Linked DNA regions of Macaca mulatta. The protein of the gene in region 3 purifies or fractionates together with the protein of the main gene of each other region. This does not show direct contact. Links are inferred from orthologs where the notes say so. Each region holds a gene or a part of one and is shown on either strand. Other genes may lie near its edges.

The links.
Region 1: the proteins of AURKB (region 3) and G3BP2 purify together in Homo sapiens (affinity purification with mass spectrometry; 3 studies listed by BioGRID and IntAct, with this or other methods). This does not show direct contact. The link is inferred for Macaca mulatta from reciprocal best matches to the Homo sapiens genes AURKB and G3BP2.
Region 2: the proteins of AURKB (region 3) and SEC16A purify together in Homo sapiens (affinity purification with mass spectrometry; 3 studies listed by BioGRID and IntAct, with this or other methods). This does not show direct contact. The link is inferred for Macaca mulatta from reciprocal best matches to the Homo sapiens genes AURKB and SEC16A.
Region 4: the proteins of AURKB (region 3) and PPP6C purify together in Homo sapiens (affinity purification with mass spectrometry, with the first as the bait; 3 studies listed by BioGRID). This does not show direct contact. The link is inferred for Macaca mulatta from reciprocal best matches to the Homo sapiens genes AURKB and PPP6C.

What each region holds. Positions count from the first base shown.
Region 1 is NC_133410.1:58,161,530-58,164,663, forward strand, and holds part of G3BP2 (ras GTPase-activating protein-binding protein 2), read left to right. Parts: intron 1-48; coding exon 49-151; intron 152-1,606; coding exon 1,607-1,735; intron 1,736-2,295; coding exon 2,296-2,414; intron 2,415-3,134.
Region 2 is NC_133420.1:6,037,235-6,040,734, forward strand, and holds part of SEC16A (protein transport protein Sec16A), read left to right. Parts: intron 1-273; coding exon 274-519; intron 520-2,132; coding exon 2,133-2,230; intron 2,231-3,500. UniProt on the Homo sapiens protein: Acts as a molecular scaffold that plays a key role in the organization of the endoplasmic reticulum exit sites (ERES), also known as transitional endoplasmic reticulum (tER).
Region 3 is NC_133421.1:9,727,390-9,731,687, reverse strand, and holds the start of AURKB (aurora kinase B), read left to right. Parts: upstream 1-1,498; 5' UTR 1,499-2,302; intron 2,303-2,957; exon of another isoform or gene 2,958-3,029; intron 3,030-3,487; exon of another isoform or gene 3,488-3,698; intron 3,699-4,298. UniProt on the Homo sapiens protein: Serine/threonine-protein kinase component of the chromosomal passenger complex (CPC), a complex that acts as a key regulator of mitosis.
Region 4 is NC_133420.1:22,615,210-22,618,709, reverse strand, and holds part of PPP6C (serine/threonine-protein phosphatase 6 catalytic subunit), read right to left. Parts: intron 1,396-3,500; coding exon 1,316-1,395; intron 1,153-1,315; coding exon 943-1,152; intron 1-942.

The DNA of each region.
Region 1 (3,134 bases), on a different chromosome or scaffold from region 3:
TCTCCTGTGGAGTGTTTTTTATAATGTTTTTTTTTCTTTATATTTTAGCCAAGAGTTGAAGCTAAACCAGAAGTTCAGTCTCAGCCACCTCGTGTGCGTGAACAACGACCTAGAGAACGACCTGGTTTTCCTCCTAGAGGACCAAGACCAGGTGAGTCAGCTCTTTTATAGCCTTTAGCATTTAACATTTGTAAGGTTGGAAAACACTGAATTTTAAAAAACCAAGAAACTATGATGTGTTCTATACACAGACCCATATAGTCTCAAATTGCTTAAAGATGTGATGTGAGCAATCCACTAAAATAGTGTCTGGGGCCGAATAACCAATTTTTAGGGAGGATTGGTTGACATGCCATGGTGACATATTTTGAAGGTGTAAAAGACGTTAACAAGTCTTTTTTTTTTTTTTTTTTTTTGAGATGGAGTTTCACTCTTTGTTGCCCAGGCTGGAGTGCAATGGCACCATCTCGGCTCACTGCAACCTCTGCCTCCCAGGTTCAAGCGATTCTCCTTTCTCAGCCTCCCTAGTAGCTGGGAATATAGGCATGTGCCACCAGGCCCAGCTAATTTTGTATTTTTAGTAGAGACGGGGTTTCTCCATGTTGTTGGTCAGGCTGGTCTCGAACTCCCGACCTCAGGTTATCCACCCGCCTCGGCCTCCCAAAGTGCTGGGATTACAGGCGTGAGCCACTGCGCCTGGCCTAGTCACTGGTTTTAAGAGTTCAAAACCAAGTTGCCAATAACCTACTCTCTCAGCACTCTTATCTCTTCACAGATAAACAATAAGCACATTTTGATTCTTAGGTATTAAGTTGCCATGATTTTTGACTTGTTTACATTGTTAGCTATACATGTAATACCTTTATTTGAACTCTGTAAGAATGTTTAGATTGCTTTGGGGAGGAGATGGGAGAGATGGAGATAGTTTATATCACATTTACAATGTTAATTTTTTTTTAAAGTGATACGTTACTGAACTAGAAGTCCTAAATTTGTCACTGATTAAACTTAGGATCTGGAGTGAGACCCTTAAATTCTGAGCTGCTTTTATGTCAAATATTACACAAATTATTCTTGTATTGCCTATTTTCCTCACTGTGTTCCTCGTGTTATTGGGAGAATCATAAGATTTTATGTGTATATATATACATATACACTAATATGTATAGACTACATAAATGTGATAATTGCTGTTAAAATTTACTGATTTGCTGTAATGTCATACAGCCAAAGAATTTTGAATTTCAAAAGACTAAGCAAATATTTAGTAGAGCTGTACCTCACTGTCTGAAATCTGCTTGGTTCCTGGGTGATGGCAACAGTTTGGTTAAGGAGGAATACCTGTACTGGTATTTGATTTTTGTATAATCCAGTAGATCTAGAAGAAGCTATTTTAGCAACCTAGTCATTGTCCTCACTTTACATTTTAGTGTCATGCTGTTTTCTAACCTACTAGTAATAAGTAGTTTTGCCTCTTTTTCAAGAAGCTCACCAACTCTTATTAAACTAAAACAGGAATATCAATATTGTGATTTTTACATTCATTCTGTTGAAGTAGTTTTTATGATATTGTAAACTTTAATATCTGCTCTATTTCTGTTCTCAGGCAGAGGAGATATGGAACAGAATGACTCTGACAACCGTAGAATAATTCGCTATCCAGATAGTCATCAACTTTTTGTTGGTAACTTGCCACATGATATTGATGAAAATGAACTAAAAGAATTCTTCATGAGTAAGTGATTTATTTTGCTGTAGAAGTTTTTTAATTATTTTAAATTAAGAGGCATATGGAGCTTTTTAAATGACTATTTTAAAAAAATGTTTCTCTGTTTATACTGTGTCCAGCTACCAGACTCACCTTAATTGTGCAGAAGGGAGTAGGCTATCTCAGATGTTTCTCAGTGACTGCTTAGTGTTGATTTCGCCTGGCTCGACAGTGTTTAGAAGAAACAGCTGGATAAATCAGTCATAAATTCAGAGATAAAGAATTCATTTGGCAAACGGGTCAATATATTAGGAGAAAACACATTGTCTTTCCAGAGTTACACAGTTTACGTATGAAAGGACTAACAAAGATGCAGAAAGGTAACACAACAGGCAGGCAGGCTACTTGGTATCTTAGGTGATTGCCTGCTTCAGTAAATGTAGGTTGGCTATCACTGTGTGTAGAAGCTTGCAAGTTTTATTTTAAAATGGATCAGGGAGATTAAGATTATTCATCCTGAACAGTTTGAGCCATCAAGGTATTCTGTTAAAAATATTTAACCCTTGATGTAATGTATATTTTCACAGGTTTTGGAAACGTTGTGGAACTTCGCATCAATACCAAGGGTGTTGGGGGAAAGCTTCCAAATTTTGGTTTTGTGGTTTTTGATGACTCTGAACCAGTTCAGAGAATCTTAATTGCAAAAGTAAGTGATTTAAAGGGCATAATTCAAGACTTTATTATTTCGTTGTATATATTAATTTGGGGTATTTAAAAACCATAGAAAATCTTTTAATAATAAAGCTAAAAATAGTTATTAAATGGTATTTATGCAAAGAATAAAGATTTGTTAGCAGTTTGTGGATCATTTTAAATTTTGTTACTTGCTTTGCTGAAGAAGGTGGGAAAGATTGCATGTTAAGAATTTTGGCTGGGTATAGTGACTCACACTTGTAATCCCAGCACTTTGGGAGGTTAAGGCAGGAGGATTGCTTGAGCTCAGGAGAGTTCAAGACCAGCCTGGGCAACAGTGAGATATTGTCTTTTTTTTTTTTTTTTTTTTTTTTTTTTTGAGATGGAGTCTCGCTCTGCCGCCCAGGCTGGAGTGCAATGGCCGGATCTCAGCTCACTGCAAGCTCCGCCTCCCGGGTTCACGCCATTCTCCTGCCTCAGCCTCCCGAGTAGTTGGGACTACAGGCGCCCGCCACCTCGCCCGGCTAATTTTTTGTATTTTTAGTAGAGACGGGGTTTCACCGTGTTAGCCAGGATGGTCTCGATCTCCTGACCTCGTGATCCGCCCGTCTCGGCCTCCCAAAGTGCTGGGATTACAGGCTTGAGCCACCGCGCCCGGCCAAGACATTGTCTTTACAAAAAAAGAAAAATAGTCGGCCATGGTGGTGGACACCTATAATCCCAGCTACTCAGG
Region 2 (3,500 bases), on a different chromosome or scaffold from region 3:
CTGGTCTTCATTTCGTCTTGGGCATTGCATGCTCAGCCTCCTGGCGGAGCAGGGCGAGATCCGCCTGCCCAGCTGTGGGAGCCTCGAGGACTGGGTGGGGAGGGAGAGGGAACATGCGGTTGGGATGAGATGAGGTTTCAGTCCAGCCTTGCCAGCCTTTCGGGTAGTTGTGGGTCTGGCTGTGTCCAGGGTGGGGCTTTGTCCCCGTGATGATCTAATGCGTCCTCACCTGAGAGCCATTGTTCTCCTTCCTGTTCCTGTTGACCCGAACAGACCGTGGTAGGGACCGACATTGCGGAGCTTCTCTTACGAGACCACAGAACAGTGTGGCTTCCTGGGAAGTCGCCCAATGAAGCAAACCTGATTGATTTCACGAACGAGGCGGTGGAGCAGGTGGAAGAGGAGGAGTCTGGCGAGGCCCAGCTCTCTTTCCTCACTGGTGGTCCGACGGCTGCTGCCAGCTCTCTTGAGAGAGAGACGGAGCGGTTCAGGGAGCTGTTGCTGTATGGCCGTAAGAAGGTGCGCCTGCCCATCATGGCACCTGGCGCCTGCAGGTGTCCACTGGGTCGGGCCTGGTGCGGGCGATGCAGCCGTTGGGGAGGGACACGGCCCCTCTCGGGAGCGTCCGCGCTGCGGTGTGGGGCTTCGGGTCTTGCTGTTTCGTGAACGATGCCGGCCTCTTTTATGCCATCCTTCTGGAGGTGTTCATGTGGGTTTCCTTCTAACTATTTCCAGTGTTGGAGACCTGCAGATGGAATTTTCAGTCATTCAATAAATGCACGTGTTGAGCACGGGCCGTGTCCCTGCTGTGTGTGCCAAGTCTCAGATGAGACATGCATGACACGAGTTTTGGCATTCTCACAAAGTCAGGCTCGAGTCCACAGCCCAGAAGTCGTTGGGAGTTGGGAGGACGCACCCAGCCTGTCAGAGGCGCAGTGCATGGAAAGGCCACGGGCAGGGGAGCAGCCAGTGCGTATAGCGTCCAGTGACTGGGGCCACAGCAGCCTGGGGACCAGGGCAGGTGGGGGACCTGAGACAGGAGCCTGCTCTGGGACAGTGGGATTGGGGGGTCCATAGCGACTGCAGCAGGGACAGTGTGTTCACAGGAGGGCCTGTCTAGGGCGCATGATGTCCGCTTTGGATGTGCTAAGCAGGAGAGAGGCCAGTCTCACGGGCATGTGTGGCCCTGAATAGCAGAGACATTGGATAGGCCCAGAGCTCTCCGTCCTTTTATATCATGATAAACTCAGAAAGGGCATATTTGGCCAGTACTTTTATTTTTTTAGTTTTATTTTTTGAGACAAAATCTCGCTCTTGCCCAGGCTGGAGTGCAGTGGCGTGATCACCGCTTAATGCGGCCTCGACCTCCTGGGTTCAAGTGATCCTCCCATCTCAGCCTCCTGAGTAGCTGGGACTACAGCTGCACGCCGCCACGCCGGGCTAACTTTTTTTTTTTTTTTCCGTAGAGACGGGGTTTCACCATGTTGCCAGGCTGGTCTCGAACTCCTGGGCTCAAGCAATCCGCCCGCCTTGGTCTCCCAAAGTGCTGGGATTACAGGCATGAGCCACCGCGCCCGGCCTGATCAGTATGAGTCTATTATGGATGTTTTATAACTGATTGAAGTCGTGTAACCTGTTAGCTTTTATTAACATCTTCCTCTACTGTAGCATTTTTGCCTCCTAGCCTGAAGTCCTAAATTATACCCTAGATGATTTTGGCGAAAGGGGAGGCTGCCTTACTGGAGCCACTGTCTGTGCTGACGGATATTCGTGGAGGCCTCCTGTTAGAACCGGGGAATTGACCCGCGTGTGTTTCCCAGTGGACGGGGCGGCGTGGTGGGCAGTGCGGTGTGGTTAGCCCTATTTGTGATTAGCGTGCTTATGTTTTATGCTGAAAATGGATAAAAGCAGCAAATATCTACAGATACCCACTACCACAGGGACTTTGAAACTCAGGAAAATAGTGAAATGCTGACGTGTCTTAATCTCCAAATGGTGAATAAGTTTTTGAGGCCTTTGGGTTGTTTGTGTATCTGCTGCTGCGTGAGGACACATGGCCTGTCGCCTGTCTTGACTCATGTCACATGAGCACCACCGATAACTCACCAAGGCCCCTGGAATGCCTTTTGCAGGATGCTTTGGAGTCTGCAATGAAGAATGGCCTGTGGGGTCACGCTCTGCTCCTTGCAAGTAAGATGGACAGCCGGACACACGCCCGAGTCATGACCAGGTACAGTCCCACGGTGGCCTGGTCCAGTGGCGAGCCCTGCTGGCTCCCTGCAGCACGCAGCGTCCACACTGGTGGCAGGTGGCAGGTGGCAGGCAGATCTCACTTGACTGTGCTGTGCTCCCACACGAACTCGGGCTTCCTTGGCTTCAGGCTTCCTTGGGTTGTGCTGTGGAGAGCTTAAAAAGTTTTTTATTAACCGCATGGTTTTTAATACTTCACATAAAATCTCAGTGAATTCCTTAGTCTTCATCTTTTTTTTTTTTTTTTGAGACAGAGTCTTGCTCTGTTGCCCAGGCTGGAGTGCAGTGGCGTGATCTCGGCTCACTGCAAGCTCTGCCTCCCAGGTTCACGCCATTCTCCTGCCTCAGCCTCTCGAGTAGCTGGGATTACAGGCGCCCGCCACCATGCCCAACTAAGTTTTTTTGTATTTTTAGTAGAGACGGGGTTTCACCGTGTTAGCCAGGATGGTCTTGATCTCCTGACCTTGTGATCCGCCCGCCTTGGCCTCCCAAAGTGCTGGGATTATAGGCGTTAGCCATTGCACCCGGCCTAGTCTCCATCTTTTATAGCTTTTTCTTTAAATTTTGAGTTTTGCTCTGTTGCCCAGGCTGGCGTGCAGTGGCGCAGTCTCAGCTCACCGTAACCCCTGCCTCCCAGGTTCAAGTGATCCTCACGCCTTGGCCTCCCAAGTAGTTGGGACCACAGGCATCCACCACCACACCCAGCTAATTTTTTGTATTTTTAGTAGAGATGGGGTTTTGCCATGTTGGCCAGGCTGGTCTCAAACTCCTGGCCTCAAGGGATCTGCCCACCTTGACCTTCTGAAAGTGCTGGGATTACAGGCGTGAGCCACCACACCTGGACTTATCTTTTACAGCTTTTTTTTTTTTTTTTTTAATATTGAGATAGGGAAAGAAAAATAAAATACTGAGATATGTGTACTTTGCCTAAGTGAAATATAAGTCTAATCATTACATCAGAGGGCTGAGGTCTGGTTTTTTTTTTTTAATTTAGTTTATTACTATTTTATTTATTTATTTTTTTGAGATGGAGACTTGCTCTGTCGCCCAGGCTAGAGTGCAGTGGCACGATCCCAGCTCACTGCAACCTCTGCCTCCTGGGTTCAAGCGATTCTCCTGCCTCAGCCTCCTGAGTGGCTGGGAATACAGGTGCATGCCACCACACCCAGCTGATTTTTGTATTTTTAGTAGAGACGGGTTTCTCCATGTTAGTCTCTAACTTCTGACCTCAGGTGATCCGCCCGCTTCGG
Region 3 (4,298 bases):
CACCCAGACTGGAGTGCAGTGGCACGATATTGACTCACTGCAACCTCTGCCTCCTGGGTTTGCGCAATTCTCCTACCTCAGCCTCCCAAGTAGCTGGGATTACAGGCGCGTGCCACCGTGCCGGGCTAATTTTTGTATATTTAGTAGAGACGGTGTTTCACCATTTTGGCCAGGCTGGTCTTGAACTCCTGACTTTGTGATCCACCCGCCTCAGCCTCCCAAAGTGCTGGGATTACAGGTGTGAGCCACCGCCCCCGGGGAAGAGGGTCATAGCTTTCATAAGGGTCATAAAGGATTTAGGCCTCCCCTTCTGCAGAGATTAAGTTCTTCAGACCAGGGAAGAAAGAGGTGACTGGATTATTTTGCAGAGAAAGCTGGAGCCCAAGGGGAGGGAGACAGGAATTGGAAAAGGGTAGGGATGGGGGAGGAGATGCCAGATCAGCCCTGAGAACCTCTTTACCCGTCTCAAAGACTTAGGACACTAATGGGAAAGACTGGGCTAACTTCTGCCCTTCCCCACTGTCTGCCCAGGGACACCTGGGAAAGGACAAATAGGAGCTGAATCCTTCACTGAAGGCCCCGTCAACGTATCTATGGGTTGGGCGTTAGGAACGGCCTGGCCCCACAAATCACATAACTGGGGTGTAGAACAAAATGGTTCCAGAGATGCTACCAGGCTGGTCCAGGACCGATGCAGGCCAGAACCCCGCGGGGAGGACTCCCCAGAACAGGCACTGAGCTGAGGAAAGGCAGAACACGTGGTCTGCTACTGACTCCACCAGATCTTCTGGGACTCTGGGCAGCTCCGGAGTACTGCTAAGTCCCCAAACCGGGTCTACAGGTCTTAGACCACACTCGTGAGGCCACTTGCCTCAGAGCCTTCGGGGGGGTCTTAGGAGGCAGGCAGGAAGGTCTCCTTCTAGGCCATTCTAGGAGGGGACTGGAGAGCAGAGGTTAGACCGGAGGGTAGGGGTAACCTGATCTTACAGTCCAGAAGCCACGAGACTAGTCGCCTGGCCTTGCGCCCCGCCCCACTGCAGGGTGGAAAGCCTGTCCCACTCCAGTCACCCAGATCAATAACGCCCTCCACCGTGGGTCTCCTGGGCCCCAGAAATCGTTCCCTCTTTCCCTCGCCTGGGCACTGCCACGCGGTCTGGGGAACCCGTAGTCTATCGACGGGTCTGGCCCGGGGTTTGCCCTGCCCGTTAGCCCAGGAGGATAGACAGACACGGGGAACTGGTGTTCCCCTAGTGATTTCAAGGCTCATTAACTGTCTCCGACCCGTCCCGAAAGCAAGCAACTCCACCGCTTCTCTTCAAAGCTCTGCAACGAAGGACTAGGTCCAAGGACCGCAGGCGGAGGCGGGAATTGTCAAGATCCCAGGTTACGGAATGGCACCGAGTCGGTGACCAAAGGAAGCAGGAACCCGGGTGTTCAAGGCAGTCCTCCAGGGCGGCGCGGGGGCTAGGCTGAGGCCACTCCCTTCCACTTCCTCGACGCTATTTCCTGGGAGGAGTTGGAGCTGGCGGCCCAGAGCCAAGGGACTCCCAGACCCGTGCTCCAAAATACTAGGCTTGGGGGAGGCTGGTTCCTGAGCGGCGCCAGGACCGTTCTGCCATGCATAGTGGACCCGGCACTACAGCTAGCCTGGCACGACCTCTAGGGCGGTTCGCAACGGCATTCGTACGTCGGCTCGTTGGTCTAGGGGTATGATTCTCGCTTCGGGTGCGAGAGGTCCCGGGTTCAAATCCCGGACGAGCCCTCCTTTACGTTTTGCTGAAATAAGAGTGTCTTCAAGGAATGTGTTACCTGACCAGCGCTGCAGGAGGCTTCACTGGAAATCATCAATGTACAGTAAGCTCTTTTGTGGCACCGGGGTAACAGAAAGAATCTCAGTCCCCAGACCCGCCTGGCATGTCAGGAAGAGACGAGGCACGCCCAGACTTGGGCAGGACGCTCCCTTTCTGCTTCTTGACTTCCTGCGTGGTGTCTCAACTCCGCCACTACAGCCTGGTTTCGGTTTGATTGACACCCATCAATCTATAGTTGTGGATGACAGTGTTCGGGAGAGCCCAGGAACTGTCAGAACTTGGTTCTCTGCAGCCCTGGAGGTACTCTGTCTCTTTCGGTCACTCCGTCTGACGATGGGTGCCTGAAATACACCTACAGTTTCTGGTCGGCTTTTCTCGGTGGTCGGAAGAACAGAACCCTTAGGAACTCTGCTGTCAGCAAGCCGAGTGTAAAGTCCCAGATCAAGGATTTGGAGACGACCATTGACGGGTCACTCCTCGTTAGTATAGTGGTGAGTATCCCCGCCTGTCACGCGGAAGACCGGGGTTCCATTCCCCGAGGGGGAGAATCCAAATGATTTTGCTTTCATTAAATCCGTCCTGGCCCCTGGGATGGAGCTAGAAAAAAGAGGGAAAGGAGGAGGGGAGGAAAGTTTGGCCTACCTCTCCAGCTCGCATTCTAAGTTTCCATTTTAGTTCAAGCAACTTGGAGTTCAAACGTGTACCTAAAGTGGCCACTATCTCCTCCGCTCAATATGTTCATTAGTGCTCAAACTTGATCTAGCTTGCTCCCTCCTTGACGGCAGTGCGCATTTCCAGTCTCTGCTTGAACCTGGGCAAGCAGCCATTTGGCCCCCGGCTGTCCAGGGTGCAGAGCCCGGGCTTTTGTTTCCTTTCACCTCCCTGCGTTTTGTGGATTCGCACTGCGATCCGGGAACAGTAGGCAACCCCGGGCCGAAATTCCGACAGGCTGCTCTCACCTGGAGGGGCTTGCAGGGCGCATCCGCCAGGAGCGCGGTGGTCCGGCAGTGGTCGCAGGTGTAGCGGAAAGCGGGTTCTTTCGGAGAGGACGGTTCCTCAGGAAAACCTCACGAAAATCCTCAACGATGGTGGGGCCCAGAAAACACGAGAAAGAAAAGAGGGAAAAAAAAAAATTCAAAATGCACTTGCGTTGGCCGGGAATCGAACCCGGGTCAACTGCTTGGAAGGCAGCTATGCTCACCACTATACCACCAACGCTTAGGTACTGCTGTTTTCTTTCATACCTCATGTTGATTGCGGTGAGTCGCGTTGGACCCGTGCGGAGCCAGGGAAACAGCATCAGCGAGATCCAGGTAAAAGTAATGGCTGCTGTCGTCTGCCCGGCGCAATTGTGCGTGACCTTTACCGCTAGTGCGCGCCACCCCACATGAACCTGTAGGGTTATGCCCAGTCTACAGACGAGGAAACCAAGGTCCAAAGAAGTTGAGTCACCGGCAGAGCTGGGATTACATCTAAGATCTCTCCAGGGGGCGAGAACTGCAGCGGCATCATGATGATTTATCATCTCCAGAAAAAAAAAAAAAAAAGAGTCCTAGACGCATAAAAATCGCTTCTCTGTAGAGTGGGCTCAATGAGCTCAATGTGATTCAAGTTAAGGAACTGGGCCCTAAGTCAAATGCGCCTAAACACAATTTGCCTCTTTATTATTTATTCAGATTCCTACGTACGTGCGCCCACATCTCGTCAGCTGGTGCCTCGCAGAAATGCGCTGACAAATCTTAAAGATACGGCTTCATGACAAAAGTCCTCCCCTTATTGCTGTTCAAGAGACCCCTCAAGTCACCCTCTCGGGCAGGCCTCGTGGCGCAACGGTAGCGCGTCTGACTCCAGATCAGAAGGTTGCGTGTTCAAATCACGTCGGGGTCAAACCAAACATTGTTTTCCCTAATCAAATAGATTTACGGTGACATTTTTAGGGACAGGACAAAAAAAACCTCCTCAGTAGAAGGATAGGAGGGGAATGAGACAAATGTGAACGTTATTCAGAAGTTGGGTACAATTTCAGTTGGGTACAGACTTTCAGCACTATGTGATATATCCCTGAGGCAAAACTGCACATGTACCCCTAAAGTCTATAAAAGTAAAAATAAATTTAAAAATTAAAAAAATTACTGTTGTATGGAAATTTTTTAAGAATTTTTTTCAATTATTATTGTTTGTTTGTATCTTTTTTCCCTTGAGATGGAGTTTCTCTTTTGTTGCCTAGGCTGGAATGCAATGGCACTATTTCAGCTCACCGCAACCTCCAGCCATGGGTTCAAAAGGATTCTCCTGCCTCAGCGTCCCGAGTAGCTGGGATTACAGGCATGCACCACCACGCCCGGCTAATTTTGTATTTTTAGTAGAGAGGGGGTGTCTCCATATTGGTCAGGCTGGTCTCGAACTCCCAACCTCTGGTGATCCGCCCGCCTGGGCCTCCCAAAGTGCTGGGATTACAGGTGTGAGCCACCGTGCCCAGCCTTTTTA
Region 4 (3,500 bases), on a different chromosome or scaffold from region 3:
GAAACCAAGGTGGGCAGATCACCTGAGGTCAGGACTTCAAGACCAGACTGACCAACATGGTGAAACCCCGTCTCTACTAAAAATACTAAATTAGCCAGGCGTGTTGGTGCACACCTGTAATTCCAGCTACTCAGAAGGCTGAGGCAGGAGAATTGCTTGAACCCAGGAGGCAGAGGTTGCAGTGAGCCGAGATTGCGCCACTGCACTCCAGCCTGGGCAATATGAGTGAAACTCTGTCTCAAAAAAAAAAAAAGATTGATGTTATTGGCTCTTGTAGAGGAAACTAATAAAGTGTCTGTATCTGTGTGATTTGAGGTCTTAAAAAAAAAAAAAAAAAAAAAAGTACTGCCTAGTTTGGTCTTGACATTTTGTTACTTAATTACAGTATTTGAAAGGAAGGGGGCCGGCCGGGCACAGTGGCTCACACCTGTAATACCAGCTCTTCGGGAGACTGAGGTGAGTGGATCACCTGAGGTCAGGAGTTCAAGACCAGCCTAGCCAACATGGTGAAACTCCGTCTCTACTAAGAATACAAAAATTAGCCAGGCATGGTGGTGTACGCCTATGGTCCCAGCTACTCAGGAGGCTGAAGCAGAATTGCTTGAACCTGGGAGGCAGAGGTTGCAGTGAGCCAAGATCATGCCACTGCACTCCAGCCTGGGCGACAGAGCAAGCAAGACTCCATCTCAAAAAAAAAAAAGGAAAAGAACATTTACTTTATCCACTATTACCAAGTGGATGCTGGAGTAGGTGCTTTCGCTGTGTGATCTTATTTAACTGTTAAAAAAAGACATACATTAATAACTAAACTAGAAATTTAATATCCACAGCCACCATATTTTGAGTAAGCTAGACTACAAGTTAGTTATCTAGGACCACCATAGTTCTCTATGCAGTCCATTAGCAATCTACAAATTACTTTTCCAAAAATGCTGGCTTTACCTCATTTGTGACCTTTGCTCCAAAAAGCCAACCTGCTCCTCGCGGACTGATAGCCCAAGTATCCACATCTTCAGGATCTGACCAAACCAGATCACAAAATGCTCCTTTATGAGGAATTTCCTGATTCCGTTCGATGGTTCGAATTTGATCCAGTGTTTTGATATCAGGAGATAAACCACCATGGACACACAAAATCTGCTCATCTATTAACTAGCAAAAAAGGATAACAAAGAGTTGAACATATAACCTCAGGCATATCTAAATTCATCAATGAATACTAAAGATATCAACATAATTGAGATGACAACTAGATAAAAATATGCAATGTGTTATTGGCAGGAACATACATGAGACTTTAAAAATAGAAACTTACAGCTGCTACTGTGAGCATGTCAAAAACTTTGGTACAGTATCTCCAGGCATTAGCATTTCCATATTTGGTTTGGCACTCATCTGTGAAAGAAACAGAAGGGTTTTAATTAATGAATCTGCCAATAAAAATAAACAATATATCCAATACTAGAGCAGCTTTCAGTATAACAGAAATTCAGCTTAAACTAGGACAGCAAGATACGACACATATTTAGTCCTACTAGGACCTCCACATAGAGCCAAAAGAACACTAGTGATTAACTATATACAGTTATATGTCCCTTAATCATGGGGATACATTCTGAAAAATGCATTGTTAGGTGATTTTGTCATTGTGTGAACATCATCACATATCCTTACTAACCCAGATGGTCTAGCCTACTACACACCTAAGCAATATGATATAGCCTATTGCTTCTAGGCTATAAACTTGTGAAGCATGTCACTGTACTAAATATCGTAAGGAAATAGTAACACAAGGGTAAGTATTTGTGCAATAGGAATTTTTCAACTGCGTTATATCTACGGGACCACTGTTGTATATACAGTCCATCATCGACTGAAATGTCATTATGTGGCACATGACTGTATTTCCTAAGGATGTAGTACTGCTCTTCATTCCTGGAATGGACCTAAGAAGCAGCTGAAATTATTAACCAAAATGCTATCATTAGAAGAGTCAAATACAAATTTCACACAACCTGAAGCAAATGTTTTTACAGTTATGTTAATATTAGGTAATTCTGGTAAACAGATAAATTTATTTAAGGAGACCATTCTAGCAGGATAATCAGATCAAACAAATTAGAGGACCCTTAGTTATAGGAACATGAGCAATTCCTAACTCTTCTCAGGGCCAAGTTGTCTCTTCTGAGATTTTCTGCAAATTGTCCAACTAAACACTTGAGCTTCAGTGGATCACAACTGAGGACAGACTGCCAGTCAGGTTCTTACAAATTCCCAGTTGAACACTCTTCCTGCTGCCTCCATAGCTTTTTGTTTTTGAGATAAGGTCTCACTCTGTCGCCCAAGTCGGAATACAGTGGCGCAATCAGCAGTGGCAAGATCACAGCTCACTGTAACCTCAACCACTTGGGCTCAAGCGATCCTACCACCTCAGCCTTCCGAATAGCTGGAACTACAGGCATGTGCCACCACACCTGACTAATCTTATTTCTGGTAGAAATGGGGGTCCCCCTATGTTGTCCAGGCTGGTCTTGAACTCTTGAGCTCAAGCAATCCTCCTACCTCAGCCTCCCACAGTGCTGAGATTACAGGTGTGAGCCACTATACCCTGACTGTCTACATAGTTAATAGGGTACACACTTCTTCTGTTAACACCATGGAAGCTCTGCACTTTGACTTCTTCCATAATTTTAGAAAAAAAAAAACCTGACATACCATTATTGCCTTAAGTGAAGCTGAAAATGATATAGGAAAGAAGTCTGCAGGTTATGACCACTCCCCAAGATTTTCTCAATTATATATCTATGTGAAGCAAGATTGTTATGTAAACTTGGCATAAGAGAGCCCTAACAATGAGCTCAGGTTGCAGGCAGGGATCTTGAGCTTGGCTCTATAGTAACTGCCCAGCATGTGTTTTTTGTTTTTTTGTTTTTTTGTTTTTTTTTGAGACGGAGTCTCGCTCTGTCGCCCAGGCTGGAGTGCAGTGGCGCGATCTCGGCTCACTGCAAGCTCCGCCTCCCGGGTTCACGCCATTCTCCTGCCTCAGCCTCCCGAGTAGCTGGGACTACAGGCGCCCACAACCGCGCCCGGCTAATTTTTTGTATTTTTAGTAGAGACGGGGTTTCACCGTGGTCTCGATCTCCTGACCTTGTGATCCGCCCGCCTCGGCCTCCCAAAGTGCTGGGATTACAGGCGTGAGCCACCGCGCCCGGCCCCAGCATGTGTTGAACTGAAGGCCCAGTGTAAAGTTATATAGGGATATCTTATTCCTTTAAAATCAATGTAAGTCTTATAATAACTAAAATTATCTTATTCCCGAGGAGCTGTTAAGCTTCATTTTATTAAACAAAACCATACAACACCACTACAAGAACAGAGCTCTGGGAACAAGAAAGTTCAATACTAGATTTTGTGTTGCTGTCATTTTCCTCAGTCAAGGCACCTTGATTAAAATGTCCTCCTTCCTCACCCCATTTTTTTCCCCTTTAGCCCTACATTGA